4 linked regions of the Diceros bicornis minor genome follow. The protein of the gene in region 1 purifies or fractionates together with the protein of each later gene. This does not show direct contact. Links are inferred from orthologs where the notes say so. Each region holds a gene or a part of one and is shown on either strand. Other genes may lie near its edges.

What was found.
Region 2: the proteins of EZH2 (region 1) and SMARCA1 purify together in Homo sapiens (affinity purification with mass spectrometry, with the first as the bait; 3 studies listed by BioGRID). This does not show direct contact. The link is inferred for Diceros bicornis minor from reciprocal best matches to the Homo sapiens genes EZH2 and SMARCA1.
Region 3: the proteins of EZH2 (region 1) and PABPC4 purify together in Homo sapiens (affinity purification with mass spectrometry, with the first as the bait; 3 studies listed by BioGRID). This does not show direct contact. The link is inferred for Diceros bicornis minor from reciprocal best matches to the Homo sapiens genes EZH2 and PABPC4.
Region 4: the proteins of EZH2 (region 1) and DNMT1 purify together in Homo sapiens (affinity purification with western blotting; 6 studies listed by BioGRID and IntAct, with this or other methods). This does not show direct contact. The link is inferred for Diceros bicornis minor from reciprocal best matches to the Homo sapiens genes EZH2 and DNMT1.

What each region holds. Positions count from the first base shown.
Region 1 is NC_080742.1:95,356,387-95,364,197, forward strand, and holds the start of EZH2 (histone-lysine N-methyltransferase EZH2), read right to left. Parts: upstream 3,021-7,811; 5' UTR 3,013-3,020; intron 2,833-3,012; coding exon of another isoform or gene 2,809-2,832; exon of another isoform or gene 2,563-2,808; intron 1-2,562. Other genes in the region: ZNF398 (zinc finger protein 398), read left to right, coding at 2,809-2,832, 6,090-6,485. UniProt on the Homo sapiens protein: Polycomb group (PcG) protein. Catalytic subunit of the PRC2/EED-EZH2 complex, which methylates 'Lys-9' (H3K9me) and 'Lys-27' (H3K27me) of histone H3, leading to transcriptional repression of the affected target gene.
Region 2 is NC_080781.1:118,323,935-118,331,701, reverse strand, and holds the start of SMARCA1 (probable global transcription activator SNF2L1), read left to right. Parts: upstream 1-4,762; 5' UTR 4,763-4,863; coding exon 4,864-5,046; intron 5,047-7,767.
Region 3 is NC_080752.1:53,260,747-53,267,863, forward strand, and holds the start of PABPC4 (polyadenylate-binding protein 4), read right to left. Parts: upstream 3,018-7,117; 5' UTR 2,103-3,017; coding exon 1,910-2,102; intron 1-1,909.
Region 4 is NC_080769.1:8,953,103-8,960,118, reverse strand, and holds the start of DNMT1 (DNA (cytosine-5)-methyltransferase 1), read right to left. Parts: upstream 3,003-7,016; 5' UTR 2,957-3,002; coding exon 2,877-2,956; intron 2,666-2,876; exon of another isoform or gene 2,389-2,665; coding exon of another isoform or gene 2,333-2,388; intron 1-2,332. UniProt on the Homo sapiens protein: Methylates CpG residues. Preferentially methylates hemimethylated DNA. Associates with DNA replication sites in S phase maintaining the methylation pattern in the newly synthesized strand, that is essential for epigenetic inheritance.

The sequences.
Region 1 (7,811 bases):
AAAAGTTAGATTAAATGAGACATCCAAAATATATTTGTTCTCTGTAAACAACAAACTCTATGCTTTTAATAAGACAATGCCTCATGGTTTGGGATTTGTGAAAACTAATATTTTTTAAAGCTTGTAGAAATAATTGCTATAGACTGATAACCATTTTCAGCAGTTGAAGAGAAAGGATTTTTGAGATTTGCCCAAGCTATGAATTCTAAATACTGATTTCTTTTAGAAAAAATTCCTAAAAACTTTTCCTGATTTATATTTTGCTGTGCGCAAAAAGGTTAATGAGATTATTACATATGCTGCCACAGTATATGGTATATGTGACATTTGGACATGAAGAATCAACCCTAATTTTTTAGGTTTAACAACACAGAGAATTAATCATTTATTCAACCATGTTTCCACTTTCCTTACCTGATGAAGGATTCCTGGGTTTCACACACATAGTGAATCTGACTTTGAGAAATATTTATGGAATGTAAAATCTGTATAGAGAAATGCATGAAATTGTCATAGACCATGGAACAAATATGGTGAAGGCTATGAACATAAGCATAATATAATTTGTTTACACCCTTCAGTTTTATTTTCAGAAAATGGTTATAGTTTAAAAAGATGTAACAGAAAATGACTGGCTGCAAGCAGAAAGATTATAGACCACTTCCACAATTCTTCTTCAGCCAATAACAAATTATGATACACGAGGGATTTTGAAATTGTCTTGTCATGTACATACACAAGATATTTAAACTAGATGGGATAGCAGCTATTACATCCTTCAAAGGCTGATGGAATCAAGAAGGCCTTAATTTTGTATTTTCCAGAGAACATTACCAACGTAGCAAGACTTACTAATAACCAATGGTTGCCTGCAGAGCACACAGGTTGTTTGTCGGAACTTGCTGAATAAATTGGTGTGTCTTGAGAGTGCAAGTATTTCCTACATGACTCCTGCTGAAAAGATCTTCCTTTGATTCTACTCCAGGGCGGATGCTGAAATTGGTGTGCATACAAGGAAAGCTAAGATGCAGATGGAAACTTCGATTATTTTCTTAACTTGAAAACCAATTAAATTGCTCCGTTTTCACATTTCTAGATCCAAACTTTAAGGACAAAATTTTCTCTAGTGATTGTGTAGAGCGGCAAGAACAGAAAAAAATATTAGAAATCAGAAATAAAAAATATAAACAAGCGCAACGATCTTAAATCTGCTTCTGAAAATATCATGCATCTTTTTGAAACAGTGCACAAAACTCCAGTCACTGAAATTGCTTCAATGAAATGCCATCAACCATCCAAAAAGTTTTCAAGGCTAAAAATTAAAAAGGAGAAAAGTCTTTACCTTAATAAGCTCCTATTAGAAAAAGGAACGTTTAATAAATTGGTGGCAATATCACCATATTATACTGGCAGAGCTAGCCTTGCTTCTCCATGGAGCTCAGTTGAAAGTATCTTATTTAGTAACGCAAATGTCCCTGTTTAATGGTCTTGGGAGCAACCAACAGTTGACAGGACCGAGAAATTACTGTTCTTGACCTTATAAGGTCAAACTGTAAAATTTTAACTACTACATTTTTAATAATAAAATTATAAAAACGAATTTCCTTCCCAAGAAAATTCAGATTTTTTCCAGAAGTTCATTCTGTTATGGCGACATTCTGATTCAGAGAATAGCAATTTTTAACTATCAAACATTCACCATTTGACCAAAATATACATTCAGGTAGATCTCAAATTACACACTGCAGGTGTAGCTACAGTCTAAAAATAGCTGGTATGCTCAAGAGCAGGTGCCCCAACAGGATGGTTCTCATACTTTTGTGATTTATAGATAGTTTGTTATGGATATTGACTTGGTTCATTTGTTGAAATACAGGTTTGGGAGGACTTTGATTCATGTTCACATGTTTGAAATGAGGACTGTGCTGGAAACTCCGGGTTATTGCGGCCGTCTTGCTATAATATACACTCTGCCAACCTCCACAGACAACACTTGGTTCTCTCCTGTCCACTAGCACAGACCCAGCAAACCGAAACCTCAGTCATCCGAGACGTAGGACGACTAGAGAGTTTTGGTTCTAACACGGGCCACGTGGGACGTGAACCGCTTCACCTCGGCAGCCACATGTGCAATTTCTGCAAATGACGAACATCTTCATCACAGATGTCTGCCTCTCGGTCACTCACTCTAGGCTCACTTGGGCCCTGCCTGCCCTTCGGCTTTCGCCCTCCGCCTGGTTCCACCTTTCTAGAGTGGGCTGCCCTCCCGCCCTCCCGCCCTCCCGCCTTGCTTCAGGCGGTGTCTGCGAATGTGGCCGCCAGGAAGGACCCCTCCCCAGACGAGCCCTGGTTTGAGGCCCTAAGCTCGCATCTGGGGAGCGCTCTCGGGGCGTGCGAGGAGACAGAGGCACCGGCTCCGTGGAGCAGACCCCGCCACCCGGCCGAGCCGACCCAGCCGCGGGGCGGAAGTGGCCGCTGGGGCCGACAGGGGGCGCGCTGCGCGGGGCTGCGGCTCGTCTAGGCCGGAGCCGTTCCGGCTGCGCTCGGTGCCCACAAAGCGCCAGCTGAGGGGCCGCTGCGGGCCGAGCGCGGCTGAGCCTGCCCGCCCCCGAGCTCCACCGGCCGGCCGCCCCGCGCCCCCGTCGCGACCCCGCGCTCCGAGTACCGGGCCTGACGGCCGCGCGAGCCCGGGCGGGGAAGGCAGGGCCGGGCGGGCGCCGCCTGCGGAGAGGCCGGGGGCCGGCCTGCGTGGGGCCGCGCGGCGGCGGCGGCGGCGGCGACTCCGGCCGGGCCGGACAGCGCGGGGCCATGGCCGAGGCGGCGGCGGCTCCGGTAAGGCGGCCCGCGCGAGCGCTGCGAGCCCGGGAGGGTCGGACCCGAGGGAGGGAGGAGGGCGGGAAGCCGGCCTGTCAGGCGCGGGGCCCGGAGCGGGGCGCAGCCCGAGCGGCCGAGCGCAGACGGGCGCCCCGGGGTCCCGCGGGGAGGGCCGGGGAGGGCCCGGTGGCCGGGTGGGACGCCGCCGCCGCGGGGCTGGGAGGGCTCGCCGCCTCCCTCCGTGAGATCCCGCGCCGGCTGCGAGGCCAGGGCGTCCCAGCCCTTCTAGAGGCTTCTAGCGGGGAGAGCCTGGGACGCTCCTGAGAGAGGATGCGTGAAGAGGGGTGCCTCCGCTCGGTGTCCGCGCTCCACAGCCCGCCAGACGCAGGCGGGGGCTGTGCGGTCGTCAGCCTCGGCTCTGGGAGCCGTCCTCACAGAATCTCCCGCAGCGCGGTCCGCCTGAGCCTCGCTCAGCCACGGAGGCGGTGGTGACGGTGACACTCGGTGTATTGAAGGACTGCCCAGCACATGCCAGTGCCGGACACACAGGAGGGCCTCGGTCGGCACGCTGCGGGAACGCGGGCCGGGTTCCGAGGGCGGCGCGCCTGCTGCGCGTCTGTTCATTCAGCCGACGTTGACCGCAGGCCGCTGACCGCAGGCCGCGGTGGGCCAGGCCCCCCGCCAGTTGCTGGTGCTGCAGAGATGACCGAGGCAGTCCCTGCACCCCCGACGCGGGTAGCATGAGCGGGGACCAGGCGAGTAACAGAGGGCTGAAAAGTATGCCCTGGATTTGCCAACTGAGAAGCCTTTGGTCACCCCAAAGAGAGCCATTTTAGTGGTCAAGCTGTGCTACCGAGGAGTGACTGGAAAGTGAGAGGAGGAGGAAGAGGAGGAAGAAGAGAGCCGCATCAGTGGGGTGGGGAATAGAGTAGAGGGGAATACCATCTCTGCCCTTGGACCTGTTTTTCCTTTTCCAACCTTTTTTTTTTTTTAATATGGTAGAGATGATCATGCGTCTATGCTAGCCCTGTCCAGTGGAAATATAATGGAAGCCACATATAGATCTTTAAATTTTCTAGTAGTCATGTTTAAAAAGTAAAAAGAAATAGATAAAATGAATTTTAATGATATTTAACCCAATGCATACAAAATATTTCAATGTGGAATCAATATTAAATTATTAATGAAGTTTTACATTTTCCCCCATACTAATCCTTCAAAATCTCCAGTGTATTTTACTTTATTTTTCGTGTGTGAGGAAGATCGGCCCTGTGCTAACATCTGCCAATCCTCCTCTTGTTTGCTGAGGAAGCCTGGCCCTGGGCTAACGTCTGTGCCCATCTTCCTCCACTTTGTATGGGACACCGCCACAGCATGGCCTGACAAGCGGTGCGTCATGCACACCGGGCCCCCAACCGGAGAACCCCGGCCGGCGCTGCAGAGCGCACGCACTTAACCACTTGTGCCACACGGCTGGCCCCTCCAGTGTATTTTATACTCACAGCACATCTCAATCAAAACCATATTTCAAGTACTCAGTAGCCACATGTGGCTACCATATTGAACAGTGCAGGTCCATCTTATGGAGAAGAATCAAGAGAGATTGAAATATTGACCATAAAAAAGAAGAAGAATGTACCTAAAAATGTGGAAAGAGTTGGCATTCAGAGCTTAAGTGGAGAGATCAATTTTAAATAGAATGAACCTTTTTCCTGTGGGAAGGAAAGAAGAAAGCAAGATTAAGTTACTGATGAGTTTGAAGTGGGAAGGAGTGTGAAGAAAAAGAAGAGAAAGTTGAGAGAGTTTGGTCTAGTTACTCTAATTTTCTTCTCAAAGTAGGAGTCCATGTCATCTCCTCAGAGTGAGGGGCCCTGCAGTGGACAGGCATCTTACTACTCAACGCATGTTCCCTGAGCCAGCAGCATCACAATCACCTGGGAGCTTGTTAAAACTGCAGGATCTCAATTTTCCTCCCAGACCTACGGAATCAAAGTCTGCATTTCAACAAGATCTCCAGATGATTCTTATGCACATTAGTTTGAGAAGTGCTGTACTAAAATTTAAGGAGAGTGCGGGCACAAGGGTTCTGGTGGCCACTAGATGGAATGGGAAAAGAAGCATGGGGGCACCAGGCAGTGTTGAGTCCCTGCTGAGCTTAGACACCATTGGTCTGTGGTGACACCAGTTTACCCGGTTCTGTGACTTCCTTTAGTAGGGCTTACCAGCCTGCTAACAGGAACAGAGAATGAGAACGATCGGACTGATTCAAAGCTAGGGGTTAGTTGAGCAGGTGAGGCACAAAGACAGATGAGTGAAGGGGCTGAAGGTGGCTGAAATGATCAACCAAGGAAGAAAGGAAAGCCTGGAGCAGGCTGATAAACCAGGAGCAAATGGAATGGTCAAGGGTTTAGTGGGATTGGAGAGCAGGTGAAATGAGAAAAAGGTAGTGGGTGAGCTGGAGAGATGGGAGGTGGTGGCCAGAGAGCATGTTATCAAATTCATAGAGTCGAAGGGCTTTGTGGAGGTCATGCCTGTCAAGCCTTCTGTTTTTTGTAGAAATTTCTTTTTTTTAAATGCACTCTGTTTTGAAGTACATTCAGTGTTAGGGCAGCCTGTTATTTTCTTGGAAAGATCTAGTTCTAAAATTATTTATATAGGCCAAGGTTTGCCTGCCTGAAAATTCCGTGTTGGTTCTAGTTCTGCCCTCTGGAGTAACACAATATAAGATTAAACAAGCCTGTTCTGCTTTCTGTTTATAAGCCTCAAATGTTTGAAAATAGCTGTCATGTTTTCTCCAGACTCAACATTCTCAGCTTAAGTATTACTGAATGGTATGGTTGTGGTTTGTAAGCAGGGTGGTGGACAGGGCCACAGCATAAGTCAATAAGGGGTTTATCAGAGGGCACTGAGCTCAGTGAAACCTGGAAAGATCCTGATGCACTTAGGCCTTTTCCAGAGAGAGAGGATGCAGCAACAACTTGAGCCTCTGGACAGTTGGCTCTAGAGCCTTACATCCCAGGGAATATGTCAGGCTGGTTCTTGATCCAGCTTTACTCATTCACTGCCTTACCTAATCCATCCCTGAACCACCAAAGCAGTTCTCTTGGCTTTTGATGCCAATGAGCTCTATAAAGACGAGGCTTATGCAGGTGGTACTAAAACTATATTTAGATTAATCTCAGCCGGCCAGTTTAAGCGGTCCTTATCTGATTTTAGTTTGGATTAGGGCTCCTTCTAACACTCAGTGTCTTGTCTCATCTCTCCACTGCACACAGACTTCTGAATGGGACTCTGAATGCCTTACGTCCCTGCAGCCCCTTCCTCTTCCCACACCCCCAGCAGCAAATGAGGCACACCTGCAGACTGCAGCCATCTCCCTGTGGACAGTGGTGGCCGCCGTGCAGGCTATAGAGAGAAAGGTGGAAGTCCACAGCCGGCGACTCCTGCATCTAGAAGGACGGACAGGGACAGCAGAGAAGAAGCTAGCCAGCTGTGAAAAGACAGTGGCCGATCTTGGGAACCAGCTGGAGGGCAAGTGGGCCGTGCTGGGGACCCTGTTGCAGGAGTACGGGCTGCTGCAGAGGCGGCTGGAGAACTTGGAGAACCTGCTGAGAAACAGGAACTTCTGGATCCTGCGGCTGCCCCCGGGTATTAAAGGGGATATCCCAAAGGTAATACCTTCACTTCTAGATGGAAAGTGGTCCCACTAGTCCTTACACTAGTAGTAAAGGATAGTCTTGGTCAATCAGTTAGGCCGAAGGAACTATGAAGTTGTTTTGTGTTTATCTATCTGGGGAGCATGCCATGTTCAATTTAGCGACCATTTGAAGTGTTGAACTTCAGGTTGGAAAACTCTTCTTAATCCCAAGTTGGCTATCTGGCAGATAGGTCTCTTTTGCTTTCTCCTGCCCATTACCCCCGAGTCACTTTTCCCTTTGTTAACCTGTCTGCCACAATCTTGGTGTGGAAACTAAATTAAATATCATTTAAATCAGTCAATTTGAATTTGTCGGCAATTCTGGTGAAAAGTTAGAGGGAGGAGAAGGGAATGTATGTAGAGTAAATGGTTAATATAAGGGTTTAGGGCCATCTGTAGGTCTAGAACTGATGTAGATCCTGCCGTTCAGCATCCTTCACAGAAGTGTGCTGCAATGCTAGGGCCCAGCCTTTCTGGAGTGAATAGCCCATAAAACAAAAGGAAATATACATCATTCCTAAACGATGGAAGACAGCCTTGAGCCAGCTAGTTTCCAAGCATGCCTGCTTATTCATTCATTCATTCAACACATATTTCTTGAACACTTACTATTTGCTTGATATCTACATCCTGAAGGCACAGCAGTGAACAAGACACTAAAGCTCCCCTGGAGTTTAAATTTTAGTGGGGAAAGAAAGATAACATAAACAAAGAAAAACTTATGTCCATTTAAGTGCTTTGATAAAAAATAAAAGTGCTATCTGGTGATTTATTTTAGATTGGGTATCAGAGAAGTTCTCATAAAGGAGCTAATATTTAGGTTGATACTAAATAACAGGAAGGACCCAACTGTGAGATCTGAGGAAGAGCTTTCCAGGCAGAAAGAATACCTAGTGCAAAGTCCCGAAGGCACAAAGAAACTAGGAACACTGAGGGAAAGGAAGAAGGCCAGTAGGCTGGTGTACAGTGAGTAAAGGGGCATGACTGGAGAAGTGAGGAGGAGGCAGATGGTTTAGGGCAGTGTTTTTCAGCCCTGGCTGTACATGGGAATCACCATGGTGGGTGGGGGGCTTTTAAAATTTTGATGGGCATCACACCTAGAGATTCTGATTTAATAGGTCCAGGATGGGGCTGAAGCAGTAATAATTCTTAAAGCTCCACAGCTGATTCTAATATGCAGCTAGAGTTATGAACCACTGGGTAGGGCATTGGAGACCGAGGTCAGAGGTTTGGATTTTATCTTAGGTGTAATGGGAAGAAATTGCAGGGTTTTAAGCAGAGGAGTTATACTGGCTTGTAT
Region 2 (7,767 bases), on another chromosome or scaffold:
ACCCTAATAAATGATAACAAACATACCAAATTAACTGGGCAAACAACAGTTCTGCCTTATTCCCACTTTAGTTTAGGACTGACTTCTGGACTGACTTTCTCATATCCTGGCTTTTTCCTTGGCTTAGTCTGAAGCGCAAAGCATCATCTTGCTTTTTTCTTTCTAACTACTATCCATTGAGTGCATTTTACGTGCCAAGACCATGCTAAATGTTTCATGTATACTTTTACATTAAATCCTCATAAAGCCACTTTGAGTTAAGTATTACTATATTTTACAGATGCAAATCTGAGGCTTAGAGAGGTTAAATAATTTGGTAGAATTCAAACTCCAAGTCTTTCCGACTCTAGAGCCCAAGCTGGTAATAATGGTGCTATTCTGCCTCTAATAATATTCACCATTTGCTTTTAGCAAACTCAATTCAGATTACTTAGCATGTTTTTCAAGTTTTAGGGCATGCATGGGTGTGTAGAATTTCCGTGTGAGAAGTATTTAAAAAATTGGCTGTATCTTTTTCCTGAGCTAGGTTTCATGTGATAATTTTTAAAAGTAGAAAAATCCTTTTACATACAACTTAAAACAATAATGTCAAAAACAGTTCCTTAACCAGGTAACACTATTGTAAATAGCACGACAATTTATATTTCTTCTGTTACATTACACATTAAGTAACTGCAAAAGTCTCTTCAGCATGAAATTGTTCTTTTCCTTTTTTTGACTCACCCTGTCTACTAGCTCCTACTCCATCTGTTAGGGATTATTTCAACCTGTCCAGTTTTGAGCAATATTTTTTGATTCATCTTTGAAAATGTTATTTATTTATTATATAAGTATAAACACCTTCATTGAGGAAAATTAGAAGTAACAGAAAAGCAAAAATAAGAAAAAAGTCACCCATAATCCCACCACCTTGCTACAATGTAACTACTGTTAACATTTTGAGTAGAACCTTCCAGACCTGTTCCTTTGTGGAACTCTATTTATGTAAATAGTTTCTTTCTTTTCCCCCAAAATTATATCATTCTATTTCCTTACTCAATAATATATTAGGAGCATATTTCCATGTCAACAGATGTATATTTACATAATCATTCATAATGACTGCATAGTATTCCGTTTATGAATGTTTTGTACGACATTTTGCCAAAGACGACTTCTTGGACATTTGAGTTGTTTCTGTTAGGTTCTCCCCCTCTCTGAACTCTAACTGTCCTGAGTCCCATTACTATTCCAAGAATTTACTTTGGGTATATGCAAGAATCCCAAATTATTCTCAAACTTCCACCTTACAACAACTTCTATGTAGAGCTAAATAAATAATCTATCTGTACATACTAACAGAGCCTTAAGAGTGACAGTGTCTCCTCATAAACCCAGAGGGAACACGATGGAGACAGATAGCAGAAATATCTTTCAGTCATTTTCTCAATATGATTTACATTGTCAAGGAGGAAGTTCTGTGAAGAACAGAGAATTTAATAAAGGTGAAGTGGAAAGTTCAGGTTTGGAGCCAGACAGTCTGGGATTTGAATCTGGCTTCAATCTAGTCACTCACTAGCTGTGGGACCTCAGGTGAGTTATTTTAGCCTCTCTAAGTCTCTGTTTTATGATCTGTAAAATAGGGGTAATAATATTTATTTCATAAAATTACTGGGAAGATTAGCAATATCATACGTAAAGAACCTAGCACAGAGCCTGATACAATAGGGGGTGCTCAAGAAATGGTAGACATATACTAGCTATTACCACTACCGTTTCCTTAACATACAGAGCACCGAGGGAATACCACATTTTCGAAAATCCCACTATCATAAATGTCTTTAAGAAGAATGGTGAGAAAGCTTACTGATATGAGCAGAATGGTTACTATAGTGGTGAGCAAAATACCATGACCAGAATCCTGTGTACCAGCTTCTGAAGAACACTGATCTGTGGGATCGCAATGTGGTTTTAAGTCATACTGTGGTTTCAATGACAAATTTCAGATACAGGATAAGAGAAGGAACACCAAGCCCTTGACCTTGCCTTTATGAACTTTATAAAAATATTTTAAATACCACCACTGGACATGCCTTCTGGTAGCTACTAAACCAGTTCAGCTATGCAAAAATGACTATTGAATAACTTCTACAATGTTCACAATCTGCCAAAATGGACATATAGTCCAGTAGACTAGGATTCGTTTTGAGATTCCCAAATATGGCCCCAAGGTTCTCTATAAAAGTTTCCTTTGTTCTCCAATGTCAATGGAGTAGAGCAATTAAAGACCACTTCAAATGAAAAGACATAATAAGGGAAAGTAGTAGCAGATAGAGCAAGGTGTTGAGTAGGATCAGAAATGTTGTGACTCTTGTTGAACAAAGTCTACAGATCATGAATTTTTAGGCAGATTTGCAAATAAGGATAGCACGTGCTCTGTAAATAGCAGCTGTTGCCACAAGCCAAAGGGCAATATTTACATGAATCCTGCGGCAAGATCTATGGACCAAGCATTGACTTTTCCAGCCAAACTCATATACTTCGTAGCACTTTTAGCCGTGTCATCTTGAAAAGAAAGGATCATGTTATACATACAAGGAAAATTGCCAACGTACAACTATGTTCTGTCCCCCAAATTAATTTCTAAATTCTTTTTTTTGGAACTTGGAACACATGATACCACAGAAAAGGCATTATAAAGGGATGTGAGTTTCCCAGATTTCCTCACAGAAGTGCATTTAGCCCATGACGTAAATGAAATACTGTACATTTACAATGAGAAATACAATGGGACAAAGTACTTTTGCAAGCAGGAACACATCAATACACAACAAATATTTCTTGAGCCTTTGTCCTTTGAAGCCCCAGGCAATGAAAGGGGAATTTTATCCTCCCATAGCTGCAATTTGGTGAAAAAGAAATTCTCCACTGCCCTTGTCTGGAAGGGTTCTTCTCGAGTCAGGTGGATGCATGCATTGAAGCATCCTTCTCTTTCAGTGCTGTTTCAACTTTCCCATCAAACAATCCTTAATGACTGAGGAGATTGAACAGGGGTAGGATGTCTAACTGGAAGTCTCAAGCTTTTATTTGGAGACACTTGAAACTCCACAGTTCATTCCTTAATATATCTGCACATTTTAATAGAAAAAATCGTGTTTCAAATGATCACTTAAGTGACTTAATTCCTTCCCACTTTTTGACTAAAGTTGATGCTCCAGAAATATGAACCATTTTTATACTGACTGTCCCTATACCCATCGGATAGTACACATGTGTACTTCAGCATGAGAAACATGGGCACTGAGGGAAAAACTAAAGTAAATGAGAAGAACGTAACGCAAGTTAAATCAAAGCAAAGCTACCACCACCAGTCTCTCCTCTCTCGGTGGCACACTCCTTCAATCACCTGTGTCTTGCTTTTTGTCTCTTTTTCTCTGTTCAAAACCAGTCCCTGGATGGGATCTCACACTCATTCACAGTAGGCTGTAAATGACCAATAATAGCTAAAATGTCACAAGTTTTTGCATATTAAGGAGTCACACCTTTAAAACAAAGGGAATTTAGGGTATTATCCCCAAGAAAAAGGGATATATTTGGAGGACAGTTATGTGCCTTCCTGCTATTCGCAGAAATCACACTTGATTTGAGATTGGTAATTTAGGAAGGTGTGTTGAGGGAAATTAATCATAGTTTCTTTTCCCTTTGGAAAGTATTTGCTCCATTTTGGAAACCGTAGGTTTTGTGATTGTTGTTTGGTACACTGTTTCCTGTATATTTTGCTATCTGTTGTCTCTAATGACTGAAATTTAAAAACTAGGATATAAATCTTCCCATTATTGATCAAAATAAATGGTGAGGAGACAGAAACAATAATATTTAATAACTGACATTTGCATACTTTCGCACCCTTGACGATATAATTTTATATCCGTGATCATGTATATCATTGGTGTTGAGTTACTACAAAATAATAACGAATAGAACACACACGCAAAAAATCACGGTAATTCAATCCAATTACTAATATTAGGTACTTACCATGAGCTGCCCCAGGTTCTGTGGGGACCTTGCCCTTGCCCTTGCCCCCCCAGGAGTTTTAAAATTCAGTGGTGAAGGTAAAAGAAGGGCTCCTGCACATTGGCCATCTGAGACGTATCAGAGTTGAAAATAGAGCAAATATACATAAAACCAAGAGTCACGCTTTGCCTTGTAAGTGAATGTTTGCAGCTGCAATCAAGAGATTCGAGGAGTGCTTCTCCTGCAGAATTTACGAAGGTGGGAATAGTACCACCAATTCCCCTTTAGGGACTTGGGAAAGGGCAGTCCCCAGAGGGGTTCTGGGCTTTGCAAATGGTGAGAAAGACCTTCTACAGTACAGTTATAAGCAGAGGAAAAGTTCTTTGTGCAAGAAGGGGAGAGCGCCCCGAGGTACAAAGAGCAGATTTAAGGGAAAGAGGATTCCTTCTGCACACATCTGTGAGGGGAGCTTAGGCTGACTGTTGGGGGCGTGAGGGAAAGTAGATTTTTAGGGGGCTTCAGGCTGTGGGTTCCCGCCTCCACCCCTGTCTGCGCCCCACACTCAGGCAACAGTTGGTCGTGCGGGGCCGGCCCGGGCTCTGGGTGGGGAGGGGGAGTCTCGCGATCGTTGAGGGGGGGTGGAGGAAGAGGGGAGGGTGACGGGGGGGAGGCCATGACGTAGGGTGGGTGGACGGAAGTGGGGCAGGGTTGAGGGTTATTTAAAGAAGGGGGGGGCCGAGCGAAGGGGTTGAAAGCGGAGTGATTCCCCACCCCTGCTTCATCCAGCCTTTTCCAGTGCAGCCACTGCCGCCGCCCGGGAGCCCTCGTCCCTTTCCTCGTCCCCCTCCTCGTTCCCGCTCCAGCGCCATGGAGCCGGACACCGCTGCATTGGCAGCCACCGTGGCAGCCGCTGATGCGACCGCCACAATCGTGGTCATAGAGGACGAGCAGCCGGGGCCGTCCACCTCCAAGGAGGAGGGAGCGGCCGCCGCGGCCACCGCGGTCACCGAAGCCACCGTGGCCACGGAGAAGGGCGAGAAGAAGAAGGAGGTAAATAGGAAGGGGGTGTGTGTGGTGGACAAATCCTGTGTCGGGCCCCTCCGAGGGGCCCAAACCCTGACCTTTCGGCGCCGACAGGTACCCGCGGAGCTCGGCGGGGATGGGGGGCCGCGGGCGCGCGCGGGTCGGGGGGCGGCGGAACAGTCTAGCATTCGCTCCCCTCCCCCTTTCCTTCTCGCCGCCTGGAGGGCGGGGGCGGGGCACGGGCGCGGCGCGGGGTGGAGGGTGCCCGTTATCCTGGGGCTTGGGGGCTTGGGAGCCCCTCGACAGCCCCCGGCCCCCTCCACATTCCCGGAACTGGGGTAACGGGGTGGGGGATGGGGCTGTGCAGGAAAAAGCCTCCGCCTCTCCCTCTCCTCTCGCTCGCTCCCTCTCCCCCCCCTTCCCGTCGGCCTCTGCCTGGGAAATCTGGGCCCTTCAATCCCACACTCGCGAAAAAGGGGTTTTGCTGAGGCTAATTTGTTTAAATTTGAATTTCAAGGTGTCGGTGGTTGGGAGGCGGAGGACGATAGGAGAGACTTTCATTTCTTTGATTGGCAATGTCGGCCTTTTGGGTGGCAGGAATAAAAAATCATCCCTTGTTCGTTTGGTCCCCGCCTGCCGAGGCGGGGGTGTCACCCCGAGAAAATGAGCTCTCCTTGTCGTAACCCCCCCATCCAAACCCCAAACTGAGGAACCGTGGACGCTGGCCTAGGAAATTTTCCAACGCGTGCACCCTCACCCTCTCCTGCCCCGCCCCCGACGGTATAGTGTTTCACTCCAGGGCCACCCAAATGGTCCCCCCAATCCGGCCTCAAGCCTTCCAGGCTTCCGCCTCCCTCTCCTAGTGGGCGCTGCTGGCTCCTGGACACACGCAGGTTTAAAAAAAAAAAAAAAATTTTTTTTAACCCAACGTCGCCAGGATGAGCTGCTGCTAATGTACATAAGGGGACCGCTCTGACACCTATTAAAGCCAAATCCGGGAAATATGTATTATATCCATAAGGCGTTTTTTATATGGACCGAGACATGCAAATCAAACTGAGACACGTTAAAAAAATTAAGATAAAAAATAGGCTGGGGCATAAGGATTTTTGATGTACAATAAAATTGTGGAAGGGATCGTTTATGAGTGGATTTTTTTTCCTTTTACCAGTAGACATATTGCAATTTAAAAAACAGTAAGTAGTTAAAATTATGCTTTAGAGATCTCAAGTGGCTTTGTCTGAATCATTATATGATACTGTACGACCAAATGAAAAGCTTTTGAGGGAAATTAACACCTTTTGCCGTGAGTTAGAGTAATTTTAAATTCAGCAGTTGCTTAAGTGACATTTTACTGTTACAAGGTTGACTTAACAGAAAGATGATTGTAGTGGTAAGTGAAAACCATAGAAAACATACCCATTTTAAGATCTGTGCGATATTTGGATCAGTAAGACAATATTGATGATTAAAGCTGGGCCAAATACCAAGCATCAATATTAATCAAATGTTGGGAAATTCAGAAACGTCTCTAAGTGCCTTTTATTCCCTAGGCTGGGCAAATGTAAGTGCTAAACTGTCTTTTGTATGGCAGTAAATGTTGAATTTCTAGGTTGTATGAATTCTTTGAATTGTGAAAAGACTGGGGATCAATAAAAGCCCTATATAATAAGCATTGAGTTGATACATATATATTCATGAACTCTGCAGCCTAATCAGCAGTTGCCCTAATGGTACCTCATTTGTCTGCTCAGCGTAGGGAAATGAGGTTCTATATGGCAGGAACTTTCTGGATATCTGAAGTTTACTACTGTAGTAACTACATCTTTTTATTTTTATTTTTCCTTAAAAATCTAAGTAGTACCAAAACATGAACTTAAGTTCTTTCATTTGTATCATTTCTTCAAATTAATTTGGTAGTCCCTCAAATCTGAATACATTGTGCACTGCCTTGACTTCTTAAATGGTGTCCTAAAAACTCGAATTAGCCTTTTCCTCCTGTCCATCAGTTACTGTACTCTGACAGTGATACGAAGGCATTCAAGATCTAGGAGGTTGTTTCCCCTCAATTAACTAACCACCTCCCAGACACTTCCAGTATAGTGTTGATTTTTAAATAATTTTTCGGTCTCCTTCCTTGTTTGTCATGCTGTTAGCTATCACTTTTTAAACACTTCATCTACTTGCATGAGAATTTGTTTATGATAAAGGACACAGATCTAACAAAACCATGAAATCATTTAAAACTAGTATACAATACAAAAATACAGATGATGCAGCAGGGAGAGGGAAATAATTACACCTGAACACCAAGGAAAAGGGATGTCACTGCAGTGGAACTCATGTTTTAGTCCTGGGCTTCTGCCATCCCTTCTTGCTGTTGACAGCGTGCCTTCTTCTAGTAGTCTTTCTCATGTCATTTGCTGCTGCTTTTATTCTCTGTAGTATGGGAAGCCAGATTATCAAACTTGGTAGAATTGTATATCAAATAAAAGAAAGTAGGCTCTGAATGAGAGCATTTTCATGATGCATAAAGTAAACGAGATTTAGTGGATTAATTTGTGATATTTAGCTACAGAAAGGTATTTTTACTTACCTTCTGGTTCTTGAACTTATTTGATTTAAGTGACAGTTGGATAACCTAACACTGTGGAAATTGGAGTTGGTATTTTTGGTAATGAAAACGTCAAGAAAAAGGTCATGGTCTTTAAGACAGGGCATCTTGATGACCTTGTGCTGCATTCTCGT
Region 3 (7,117 bases), on another chromosome or scaffold:
CATGGAGACCATTTAAAAGACCAGAAGCTAAAATATATCATATGCCAGCAAGAACACTTCTCTTCACTGGTGGTAAAAAGATACAGAGCTGGTGGTCACTTGCCCTGACTTATGCGAAGATATCAGCCAGACTCTCCTCCATCCAGTGGTGCGGAGCTGTGTTTCTCCCACCTCAAGGCACCATCTCACTTAGAGCACACAAAATTCCCTAACTGCCTCCACAAGCTCAGCTGCTCAGGCAGCCACGGGAGCATCTCCTTTTCAGTTATTATTTCTCACCACCGTTTCTCCCTTCCTCAGGTGGGCTCCTCAGTATGGGAGGAGAGGAGATCAGGGAAAGGGGGGACAGAGCAGATCCAAGTCAGGAAAAGTCCAGGTGCAGAAGAGTTCGCTTGTGATGGCCAGCTGTGATCACAGCCTGGGACCCCCAAACTGTTTTCATTAATTAGCAGCGAAGGAGCCCATTTCAACACAGCTTCTCGTCTATTTCCAGGCGGCGCCGCAGAAGGCAAGTCGGCTTAGTCTGACAAATCTGACTGCACTTATTTATAGCAGAGAGAGGTCCTGCAGAGGTATGTGTTGGCAGACACATTGACCAATGGCTTCTGCTACTATCTCTAAGTGACAGGACTTTTGTTCAGAAGAGTCAAGAAGGAGGCAACAGCCAATGCACCCACTACTCCCAGCTAATAAGGCCACACCCAGCTATCTCCTTTGTGCCCTGTGGCCAGACACCACTCAGCTCAGAGCACACTGAACTCGGTGGTAGCAGTGCCTCGTGTCTCTCAACAGGTCCAGTCCTGTGCAAGTGACATTCTCTGTGCTTCACGGACAGTGAACAAAGTGGGGACGAAAATAGGGACCTGGAGATCCTTTGCCACAGAATGGCTTGTTTCTCCCAGTGATGGTCTCTACAGTTGTTCCCTTTTAATCTGGAGTCACGTGCAGCCCCCGATTAGGTTTCCTCTGGCCTCACTCCTGCCACGCCTGCAGCATACCTCTCCACCGCTCTGAGCTAAGGCCCCAATCTGGACGGGCAGAGCACTGCACTGACGGTCCCAGCTTAGCCTCCAACCTTTTGCAGTTCCTTTTCCTTCTCAGGAGTTCTATTTTCTTCAGATGGGATGAAGTAAAGGTTCCGACAACTGGAAAGCACTGTTCACAGGTGAGGCGATAGTCTCCACCAGCCCAGTGGATTTCCAAGCGACGCTTCCCCAGACTACTTGGATACCCTTCTCCACAGACCAGGGCTTTGTCCAGAGAGCAAAGAACTCCTCCACCCCACTGGCAAGCAAACGCCCAGACCAGGGAGCTGGCCTGGCACCTGCAGCTCTGGTGGTGCTAACACATGCGCCCGCTCACGCTGAACACACGGAATTGCTCCCCTGCTTCCCACCTGCCCTGAAAGACCCCTTATCAGCACAAAATCAAAGACTCTTAGTCAAGGGTAAAGGTAGGGGAAGAGGCAGCAGCTTTGCCACCTAAAATTGTTGCAGGATTTGTGTTTCAACCACTCTGTCTTTTTGGCAGGCCTGTGAGGGGCGCAAGCCCATGCCCACTGACCAGGCAAGGGTCTCTAACAGCCCAGCCCCACTGGAGCAGGACCACAGACACAATGGGAGAACCATTTCCCTCTGATCCCACTTTACGGTCTCCTTGGGTTCCAACCCCACAGTCACCACTGATTAGCCCAAGGTCACCCAGTTAGCAAGTGGTGGACGCAGGACTGAAACTCGGGTCACCTGATGCCAGGATCCTTGTTCTAAACCCCCGCATCCTGTTCCCCACTATGGCTTCTGTGGCAATGTGTTGTCCTGAGGCCCCCTCCGTGGGCGTGGGGACCCGCGTGGAGGCTGACTCCTTGGGTCCCCTGGGATCCCACGAATGTGTGGACATCGCTTCTACTCACCGTCAGCCGGCTGCTGGAAGTTGACGTAGGCATAACCCAGGGAGCGGCGGGTGATCATATCGCGGCAGACCCGGATGGACAGCACAGGCCCCGCAGGACTGAACTTTTCATACAGCATGGCCTCGGTGACGTCCGAGTGCAGGTCACCCACGTACAGGGAGGCCATGGGGTAGCTGCTGGCTGCAGCGTTCATCTCCCCAGCCCCCACCACCCCGAGCCCCGCCAGGAGGACTTCTTAGAGGGACCCCACAGGACAAAAGGGGCTCTTCTCGGAGCCGTGGCCCGCGCCGCGGCTCACAGGTGGCAGAGGGAAGCTCAGGGAAGCTGGAGTCGGCTCAGAGAGACAGAAGACCGCCCAGAGTTGTTCAGGGACGGCTCGCACGAGACTGCAAAACCACAGACAAAAGGCTCGCAAAAACAATATGGCCCTCCCTGGGAGTTTGTAATTTTCAGCTGTCCTGGTCTGAAGCTCCAAATTTCCAAAAAAAAAAAAAAAATTAAAATGGGGACTCCCCTCCAAATTATAAAAATTCTTCAAGTGGCAACCAAATGGTGCCCACGGCGGCCTCCAGGACACGCGTTTCTCTATAAATATAGGCCCCGGGCTGCTGGCGGTTTAAGATTACAGCGGCCAGGAGAAGAGGGAAACCAAATATTGGTCGGTGCCGATTCGGCAAGCCCCGGGCGGGCCGAGCGCGCAGCCGCCTCCCACGCCGGGCCGGCGAAGGGCAGCGCGGACACGTGGTGCGCGGGGAGGCCGGCGCGCGGGGGGCGAGGGGGGCGAGGGCGGCGGGCGCGGGGCTGCCACGCGGCGCGGACGGGCGGCCGGAGCGGAGTCGCGTGGACGCGGGCGGCTCACCACCGGACCGACGGACCGGACCGACGGGCGCCCAGGTGCGGCGGCGGCGGGCGCGGGCAGGCCGGAAGCGTGCGAAAGTGACTTCCCCGCGGGTTCTCCGAGGAGGATTCAATTTTTTTTCTCTCTTTCCTTTTTCTTTTTTTTTTTTTTTAGATTTTAAAGCGTTTTCGGGTTTTTTTTATCTTTTTCTCTTTTTTTCTTCAGGCTGCTGGGCCCGAAAGCGGCGCAGGCTGCGGCAACCCGGGGCGGAGAGAGGCGGCCGACGGAGCCACCGCTCCATTTATACCCGCCCGCCCCGGGCGCTGCTGGTCGAAGGGCGCCTCGCGACCTGGGCGCAGTCGTGCCCGCCCACTCGGCCCGGGGGCCCGAGGCGGGGCGGCCACGCGAGAGCGACCCGGCGCGGCCGCGCGGCGCCACAGCGACCCCTGGCGCACGGAGGACCGCTCCGCGGGGGCCTCCGCTGGACCCAAGGGCCGCTTTCCAGACTCTTAGAGTGGAAACCGCCCTCCCCTCCGGGAAAAGAACTCGCAGATAATTTAACCCACCCGCACGCCTAATGTTTATAATCAATGTATTGTGAAATAAAGATGACATAAAATAATTATAATTATATAATAAGTGGTTCAGTATAGAAATGTTTGGGCCCAAATACAGGAGAAGACATTCTGAAGTTTTCAGACTACTGGGACCTAGAGGTAGAATCATCCAGAACGCGACGGCTACAAATGTAGTAGTATCCATGGGTGATTGGATTCTCTGGAAAGATAAATAAATTTGGTAAAGCTTCAATGAAACAAAATGCAATCATCCCTCTATTTGCATGGTAGTGGCATTCCTGGAAATTTAGTTGACATTTAAGGGCGCAAAAATACTTTCTGTTTCTATGGAAGAGGGAGTTAGTGTCTAGGCTCCAAGAGTTATAAAAAGATTTTTTCATCTACATGAGGATCTGGCAGGTCATTTGAAAGTCATGTGGTATATGGGATGAGTCTACGTTATGTGTGACTGTCTCTATGTGTTGCAAGATGTATAGCATTCCTTCCTCCATAAATGCCATGAACTACCCTCCCCATCATCGTGACAACCAAAAACAGAAATTACCGAAGGGCATACAGACACTTCCATTGAAGACCACTGATTTCTGTAAAGGAATGAAGAAATACATGTATTTATATATTCATTCATTCAAAGAAATGGTTAATCAGGGCTCCCTCTATGCCAATGCCAGATATAGGTGCTGGGGGATACCATGGTGGACAAGGCAGAGGAAGTCCGCTCCGTTATGGAGTTTATATTCTAGTTAGTGTATTAAATCAAGAAACATTTATGGAGTGCTCCTTCTGTGGATAGAGCCTCTCCTCAGGGAAGCCTTCCCAAAGCACCCAGTGGTCTAATGTAGTCTGCCAGCACTGTTAATCACTACCACTGTCTTCTTGACTCTTATTACCACCTGAAATGGTGTTGTTCATATATATGTTGTTCATATATGTTCATATATGTGTTATTCATTATGTTGTTCGTATATGTTGTTCATATATACTAAGTTTACCTGTTTGGTGTCTGTCTTTTCCCCACTGTATATAAGCTTCATGGGAGCAGGAACCCAGAACAGTGCCTAACATGGCACACACTAAATGTGTAAATAAATATTTGCTAAAAAAGCAAGTGAATACCAGGCACCCATGAGCAAAGCCCACACAGTCCCTGACCTCATGCAGCTGACTGTCTAGTGGGAAGCTTCCTACCTGTATGACCTTGAGCAAACTAGTTCACATCTCTGACTCTCAGATTTCCAATCTGTAAGTAAATTAATAAAGTTACTCAGTAGGTTTTTTGTGAGAATAAGCTAATACACATAAATTACACATAAATCACTTGTGTAGATGATCATTGTTATTATTATCAAGCTACATTTGTACTGAGAAGAGAAGGGAGTTACGTAAGTGAAGATAGGGAGAACAGCATGTGTAAAGGCCCTGAGGCAGGAGTGGGCTGGAGCCGAGACTGCAAGACAGCCCATGGTGCTGTGGGAGGTGGAAAAGACAGCCTGCTCTTGGAGACTTGAAACACTTTGGACTTTATCCTGAGATCAAAGGGTAGAGCTGAAAGATTTTAAAAGGGAAGTGCCTTGGTTCAAATGACATTTTTTTTTAAAAAAAAAAAACACTTCTCTGGATGTAGAATGGAAAAGGATTAGAGGGTGGGTGCAAGGAGAGCTTCGAGGTGATGGCCGCTAAGGTGGTGGCCATGGAAATGGAGGAAGCGGCTTGATTAAAAAAAAATTTAGACAGTCTAATTTGTGATTCATTGGATGTGGGAGGTGAGAGAGTAACAGTCAAAGATGGTTCCCAAGTTTCTAGTAAATCAAAAAAATTTAGCTTCCCCACATCTAAACACAAGATTGTCACTTAGTCTTAGAGGGGAGAAATGTGCAAAGCCACCGAAGGAGCCGCCTGGAGTCCAGGCCTGCAAAATCCGAATGGGACTTGATCAGGGCCTGGTAGGGTGGGAAGAGGCTGGACAAATGACCAGGCCAGTGGTCTGGAAGGAGGCCTGAGCACATCAGTACAAATCTGCCTTTGCTTGGGTGGGAAGGGGTGAAATTTTTCTTTTTTTCCACTGGGGCAGAACCTATTCTCAGTGGGTCTGTACTTGATACACGATATCATGTGTCAAGAGAAAGAGTGTCCAGGGTTGGGAAGAGGAAGGGAAAAAAACTTCCTGGTGAAGACATGGATGTAGGTGCGGGCCTCTGCAGCTGAGGATTTTAATAGCAGAAATGTAAGAGCTTTGCCTTCTGGATTCATTCATCATTCAACAAACTTTATGTGGCATTCCTTAGAGCCAGGCTCTCTCTGCTCTGGGTGCTGGGGACAGAACTCTGAGCTAAACATTCACACAACAACCCGCCCTTACTGAGGAGAGAGATAAGAAGCAAGCAAATGTGTGTGTGTGTGTAAAACTTGTGAAAAATGCTTTGAATCTAGAGACTTTTTGAAGGTGAGAGCAGGGAAAACCCAGCCCCATCCTCCCAGCAGCAGTCCACAAAAGCTCTCTTTCCTATAAGCAACAATGGCTCTGCCCCTCAGGAAGGAATATCCTTCCTTGTCCACAGACAGGGTCTTTGAGATCTTAGAGGTTTTGTCCAGGCACCAAGACAGGCTGTGCAACTTTGGGTGGCTGTTGTCACATCTCTGAGCCTCTCACATCTGTACGATGGGCTCAGTAAGCCCTTTAAGGAAGAGGGGTCAGTACCTGCCCACTAGAGAGAAGGCATTTCCCTTCCTGTCCTCCCACATTGATAGCTGCGAATCTGCCTGACCCCTTACTGACCTTTCCAGATAGTCAGAAAATGCTAAGAATAAACCACCATTTATTGAGCACCTACTATGTGTCAGACATCATTTTCAGACCTCAACCCAGGACTAAACGTGTGTGGCATGACCAAAGACTAGGGTATTAAAAGCTGGAACTGACCTAAAAAAACCATCATCTGCAGAGTTCAAAGGTATAAATGAGGGGAGTCATAAGTGCTGTCTTCCTGTTCAGGACCCCAGGCTGGATGCTGGCTATAAAGATGGACAAGACCTTATCTTTTCCCTGGAACTGATCACAGTCTAGTGGGAACAACTGACATCCAGATCAATTACTACGACCAAATGCCTATGGAATTAGGTGCCACAGACAGGAGCCCCAGGCACTAAGGGAGTGATTATCTGTACCAAGGGTGAGGATCAAGGAAGGCTTCCTGGAGGAGATGGCACTGGAGCTGGACCTTTAAAAGAAGATAGTGTTTTAGATGGTAGAAATGGAACGGAAACAAGGAGAACACTCTATAAACAGAAGTTCAGAAATGGACAACCTATTTATTAGCTTGGGTAAGTCAGTTCACACTCTTGGGCCTCAGTTTTCTCATCTATAAAATAGAAATGATACGAGACACTATGTGTAAACCTTTATACAGTGCCAGGCATACAATAAGCATTTGAAATGATACGAGACACTATGTGTAAACCTTTATACAGTGCCAGCCATACAATAAGCATTTGACAGATAGTGGATAATATAATACTGTATTATTACAACACGACATTTTCAAGGTTGCTGTGAGTGGCCCGTTGAGGCTAGAACTTAGGGTGTGTGTGTCTGTGTATAGCAGAGAAGGAAACTGCAAAGTAGAGCTGAGATCTTGCAGAGGTCCTTGAATGCCGTTCTAGAGGGTGACATTTCCCAGAAGTAATTGATCCAATACTATTATTCAGAAATAGTGACATTAACAGCTAACACTGCACAGTGCTGCCTACATGCCAGGCGCTATTCTAAGCCCTGTAGAGTAACTGGCCAAGATC
Region 4 (7,016 bases), on another chromosome or scaffold:
GAAAGGCTGGCAGGCCTTTGAGTCTACTGTACACCAAGCTGCAGATACAATGAAGAAGGGAAACAAACCTTTACCAACTCCAGGGTGCAAAGGCAGCACATGGGGTGCACGGACATATTTCAACACCCTTCTCATTGTGGGGGAAGGGGACTGTCTTTCTGAGCACAGTCTTACGGATGAATGGACAGCAGCCAGCCTCACACTGGTCACTCTGCATGGTCTCAGGCCTCGAGAACCTCAGAGGAGGCCTGCGTGGCTTGTGAGGAGATGAGCACAAGACTGAGTCACGCAAGTGGACAGGGATTCCAGACTCCAGGTCAAGAGCACCAGGCAGCGTGCTGGGCGGGAAAAACCACCGGCTCCAACTCACGTTGTAAGAGGATCACAGTTTCCACTTATAGAAAACAGACCTCAGTGACAGCAGGAAGACTCTCGCTTCTTCTGTACAAATGATGGCGGCTTGGACAGAGTAAGAAACATCAAGTGGAGAAATGTGGCTTGTCCTCAAAAGCCTGATTTTCAGAAGACTGAGCGTATATAACACTTCCAAAAAGCAGTTCAAGACTTAAAAACCCAAACATTAAATACTTGCTAGTATCATTACGTATCTAATGGGACTCTGTGAGTTTTAAAAGATGCCATATAAACACAAGTTAGCAGAAGTGACAGAAACGCATACATGAGGACCAGGCCTCAATTTTGTTCCTAGAACACTCTACTGGACTTAGGTTCCTCTTATATTATAGATTACACTTGTCTAATTTTCGTGGGTCAAAAAGAGTTATACCTCCGTTTATGAATCTAAGTTTAAAGGAGTGATGAATGCCATGTTTATGTGTGTATTTTGTATGCTGAAATTCAAGATGTAAGAAAAGCTATCGAGGGTCATGTAAGCTGACCATTTCAACGTCTACCACATGGTCCAAGGCAGAAATCCACAACTCCATACCTACAGTAGGCAATTCTAGTTCCAAGTAAGATGGAAGCTAGAGTGAATGGTGGATTGCAAACCTAAGAACATTCAAATTCAGCCAAACAGAACACTGCTCCGGCCCAATAAAACCCGAGCTAGTGGGCTGTTCGAAACTCCTCGTTGAAGGGAAAGGCTCTGGCACGAAACAGACCTCAGCAGGAATTCCCGCTTCCTCCAAGTGGATGCCTGTGGCACCCACTCTTAAGGACTCTTGATTAAATGCGATAATGTAAAGTGTTTTATACAATCAGTGACTGATTCGCAGACCGGAAAGTAAGCTAAATTAGCTGATAACAATGCTAACACGTGGGCTTTCAGGTGCCAGGCATATTCTCATTTAATCCAATGCCAGTTTAAAGCCCATGTTGTCAGGCTGGCCCCGTGGCTTAGCGGTTAAGTGCGCGCCCTCCACTGCTGGCGACCTGGGTTCGGATCCGGGGCGTGCACCGACGCACTGCTTCTCTGGCCATGCTGAGGCCACGTCCCACATACAGCAACTAGAAGGATGTGCAGCTATGACATACAACTATCTACTGTGGCTTTGGGGGAAAAATAAATAAATAAAATTAAAGCCCATGTTGTCAATCTTAGCCCACAGCTGGGGCTTGTTTATGACACTTGTGCCCAAAGTCAAAAAAGCCAATGGAGGGAGCGTTCTCACCATCAGAGAAAGGAGGCTGGACCCCAACTTTTCTGTATTGGGTCTAAAATGAAGCCAGGGACTTCCATGATTCCATTTCCACTTTAAGTTACGTTATATCTTGGGGGGATCCAGATAGGGGTTCTTCAGCAAGACACATCCCCTCTAACTGTGGTGAAGAAGTGGTTGGAACCTTAAACACCCAGTAGGGAGACCCCCACACACACTCCACTTTGAAAAGCCCAAATCAGAACGGGCCTGGCACAGCCATAGAAAACAAGCACAGCGAAATGGCAAAAGCGGGGTCACCAATCCGCTTGGAAGTGTTCAGTCTTGGTCAAGGTTCCCGTGATCAGCGTTCCAAGCGAGGGGTACAAGTTTTCAGGACTGAAATGGGAGCCCTTCTAGAACAAGAAGGGGGGGCCCAATGGTCGTGCCACTGACCCATGTGCACGGCATTGCTTGAGCTGGTCCCCAACATCAGCGACCCCAAACTGCCCCCTAAATACACACACTGGAAAGTGCGGCCAGTTCTCCCCAGCAAGGCTTCCTTGATGCCCACGGCTCATGGGCACAGATTTACTAGAAAAGACCATGCAGCCTTCGCGCTGCCTGAGCCCTGGCCCTGCGCTGCACGGTACGAGTTCCTTCCAGAATGTGACTTCCCAGCAGTCCGAGACGATGGCGGGAGCCCCCCAAGGAAGACGGGGCTCGCAAACCTGAGCCGGCCGCGCCCGGGCCCCGACCGGCGACGTCCGTCTCTGGAAGCCGCCATCGGGATGCGCCGCGCGGGGGTGCCGAGGGGGCCCCCCGAAACGACCCCGGGGACCGGGCCGGCACGACCCCCCAGGAGGGCCGGGCACCGGAAGCGGAGGCCGAAGTGCCCTGCCGAGGGGTGTCCTGAGGCCGCGGGCTGCCCACTTCCTGTGCGACCAGGCTGGCGGCGGGAGCCCGGCCCGCGGCTGCTCCAGGAAGGGGACCCCCGAGGCGACCCCAACGCTTGCTCTACTTTGAGGTCAGAAGAGACCCCAAGTTCCTAGGCACCAGGGAGCTGTGAGGTGCCTCGGCCCATTTTGGCGCCAAACGGCCAGGGGCGCGCGCGACCGGAAGTGCCACCCTGCCCGCGCCAACCGCCGCCGCGCGCCGCGCCACCCCGCGCATGCGCGCCCGTCTGTCAGCGGCGGCCACAGGCTACCCGGCGGGGAAGCGACCCCCCCCAGCGCTGTGCCACCCCCCGCGTTCGCGGGCCCCCGTGGCACTTACCGCCTGCGGACATCGTCGGGCAGTGAGAAGGCCCGGGAGGCCAGCGCGGGCACCCGGGCTGGGGCGGTGCGGGCAGGCATCTTGGAAACTGCAGCAGAGGCGGCAGCAGCACAGACAGCCCTGGCTTTTCGCGCGCGCGGAAACCGACGGGGAGGGGCGGCGAGCGGAGGCGGCGCGTACCACCTCGGCCTGGGCGTGGGGGAAGGCGGGACGTACCACGCGGAGAGAGGCCGTACCATGTGCGGCCGGACGTAGTGGAGCGGGACGTGCGCGGGGGCTGCGCATGCGCGAGTCAGGCGCACACCCCCGCGCGGAGCAGTGGGTTCGTCCAAGCTCCGCCGTTTGCCGAGAGCCTTGCCCGAGACATTCATTCATTCATTCTTTCCCGCAGGCTGGGGATAAAACGGGGAGCATTCCCACGAGATTCAAGCCTGTGGGCTTTTGAGTTAAAGTCCTCAGTTCCAACCCCACCACCACCTGTTTGCTCACTCTAACGACCTTGGGAGGGTCATTTGGACCCAGCCTCAGTTTCCTCATCTGTAAAAAGGGGCTAATACCACCTACTCCAGAAAAGCTTGAGGCTGCACAGAATATGTAGCTAGCACCAAGGATCTCACAGTGTGGGGAAGCCCGGACCACTTCCACATCCTGTGTATTTAAAAAAGTACTAGAACTTGGGGAAAGGCTAGTCCGTTTAACAAATGGTGTTGGGAAAACAGGATATCCAAATGCTAAAGAATGAAATTGGACCCTTACTTTACACTATATACAAAAACTCAAAATGGATTAGACCTAAGCATAAGACCTGAAATGACAGAACTCCTAGAAGAAAACATGGAAATGCTTCACAACAATGAATTTGGCCGTGATTTCATGGATATGACACCAAAAGCACAGGCAACAGAAGCTAAAATAGACAAATGGGGCTACAAACTAAAAATCTGCACAGCAAAGGAAACAATCGACAAAGTGAAAAAGTAACCTATAGAATGGGAAAAAATATTTGTAAACCATTTATCTGATAAGGGATTAATATCCAGAATATATAAAGAACTCTTACAACTCAACAATAAGGCAAATAACCTGGTTTAAAATGGGCAAATAATTTGAATAGACATTTCTCCCAAGATACACAGACGGCCAACAAGTTTATGAAAAGATGCTCAAGTTAAGTCATCATCCGGGAAATGCAAATCAAAACCACAATGAGCTATCCCCCTTACGCCTATTAGCATGGCCATGATCAAAAGAATGAAATAGGCATCGGCGAGAATGTGGAGATTAAGACCCACATGCACTGTTGGTGGGGATGTAAAATGGTGCAGCTGCTATAGAAAAATGTGGGGGTTCCTCAAAAAATTAAAAATAGAATTATTGGGGCCGGCCGGTGGCTTAGCGGTTAAGTGCGCACGCTTCGCTACTGGCGGCCTGGGTTCGGATCCCGGGTGGGTGCGCACCGACGCACCGCTTCTCCGGCGATGCTGAGGCCGCGTCCCACATACAGCAACTAGAAGGATGTGCAGCTATGACATACAACTATCTACTGGGGCTTTGGGGAAAAAAAAAAAAAAAAAGGAGGATTGGCAATAGATATTAGCTCAGGGCCGGTCTTCCTCAGCAAAAAGAGGAGGATTGGCATGGATGTTAGCTCAGGGCTGATCTTCCTCACAAAAAAATTAATAGCTATTAATTTAATATGGAATCAGCACTTATGTACTGTACCAGGCTCTTAAGAGTTATTTAATTTCATCCTTAACAAGCATAAAGGGGGGGGGTGTCAGGACCCCATTTCCCATGGCCTAGGATATTTGTCACAAAGGAGTCTGGCTCAGAGGCTGCTAACCCAAGATCATAGACTCAGTAAGCAGCAGGGACCATGAATCCTGGTGTCTTGAGCTCCAGAGCCTGAATGCGAAAGAGAAACCCCAGGGTTGGCCAGCTGTCAGGCCCCTGGGAGGCCAAAGGGACAGCATTGAGGGAACCGGGCTGAGGATGGGGACAGATAGAAGAGAGTCTGGCCAGAGTGAGGCTCAGGACCCGTAGACCTGCTGGAAACCAGCATCTGGGCCCCTAAGCTGCCTTAGGAAGAGGGGTGCTCACAGGATGGGGGAGAGAGGGGACACAGACAAGCAGACCTGCTTGTCAGGGCCTCAGCTCTCGGAAGAGCAGCTGCATGTAGTGGCAGGATGTCCTCTCAGGCGGATCTTCTTTGTGATCCCTTTGTCAAGGGATGATTCGACCCATTTTACAGATGGGGCAAGGGCTCAGCGACATCAAAATTTGCCCCACTTGGTGCCAACGTTGCTGATCTGCTCTCAAGGTGCTGCTTCAGACCATCTCTAATTCCTCTCCTCCCCTCACATGCAAGAGGTGAGCAATCTCTGTTGGTTCCTCCTCTAAAATACAACCCGGGTCTTTCTGCTTATCCGCTCTGCTGCCTCCTCAGAGATTCCATCATCACTCCATCACTTGCCTGGACTGTTCTAGTAGCCTCTTCCCTGGTCTCCCAGACTACAGCATCCAGAGAGCTTTAAAAAAAAAGGGGGGTGGGGGGACATATCCTTCTTCTCTTCTCTTCCCCACTAAAACCTTGCAAAACTTCTCATTGCCCTTCAAATAAAATCTAAGCATTTTACTCTATTTACAGGGTCCTTCCTGGATGCATCTCATCCCGCTACCACCACCACCTCACTGAGCTCCAGCTTCTTGATTCACTTTTAGTCTTTCAAGCTCTTATGTGCCCCAGGGCCTTTGCTTCACTTCTGCCCAGACCACTCTTCTGGGAGATTCACACAGTTCCAAGGTTGCCTCTACTCAGAGGCTTCCCCCTGACCTCTCACTCTGGCCTATTACCCTGCTCCTTCATAGAGTTTACCACTGTCAGAGAGTTTCTTATTTACTGTCATCATAGTATGTCTATTTCACTAGAGCAGAGCAGGGGTCTGCACATTTTTTCTCTAAAGGATCAGTAAATATTTTAGGTTTTGTAGGCCACACGTTCTCTGTTGCAACTCCTCAATGCTGCCATTGTAGCATGAAAACAGCCATAGACAGTCAACGAATAGGTATGGCCGTGTTCCAATAAAACTTTATTTACAACAACAGATGGTGGGCCGGATTTAGCTTATGGGCCTTAGCATGCTGACCCCTGCAAAGACTACGAGCTCCAGAGGGCAAGGACCTGGTCTGCCTCGTTCACAGCTGGCCCTCCAAGGGCTCACTCCGTAGGAATCCAAAGATTGGTTGAATATATAGGACGTAGGAGGTGGCAAGCAGGTGCCTGATGTACAGTGAAGATGCAAAGGTTGGTGGGTATGAAGCTATTTTCTCCCCCACAACAATGGATTTCCATTTCACAAACAGGGAAACTGAGGCCCAAATCAGAGAAGGTTGCAAAGCCTCGTTTGTCTCTAGTCCTTGAGTCATCCACTTCACTCAATTCACCTGACCACTAGAAATGTCAGCCAGAGCCATGGGGAGAGGGATGCTGATGGCTTCCGGGAGCCTCCAGAGTGACTGGTTGGACCACCAGAGACCTCCACCTAGAAATGGGCTCATCCCTTGAGAGAAGGGACTGGAAATTCCAGAAGCAGCCAGGTTCAGCTCTCAGGTGCATTTACTCCACCTCCACCTGTTGGTCTCTAAAGTAGTGTTCATGAACCCCTGACATGAGACTTGTCAGGCCCACCTCCCTGCTTCCCAGGCCGTATTCCAGCCTCCAGCTGGAGGGCCACACTCCAGGGGCCAGGAAAGGCTAGGTGTCAGCCCCGAGCACCAGGGCTAGTGGAGAGATGGCCACATGTCCTGGGCCACAGTCAGTCAGAAAGCCAGAGCTGAGTCATGCCACATGCTGGGGCATTAGTCACGGCAACTGAGCTCTCGCTTGGTGCCAGGACCAAAGGAGGCCCCAGATGGCGGCAGCAGCACTCAAGGGTTCGATGGGGACACTTTGCCACTCTCGCCCCAGGCAGGGGCCAGGCAGGAAGACCAGCAGGGCAGGCTTCGCAAGCTCCCTCTCTGGGCTCAAGTGACCAGGAATCAGATCTGGGGAAACCAACTCTGGGGTGTGCTGGGTGGACCTGCCTGCTCCTTGTAGAGCACTTAAGCAGGCTGATGGCTTTCTGTACGGGACCACAAGAG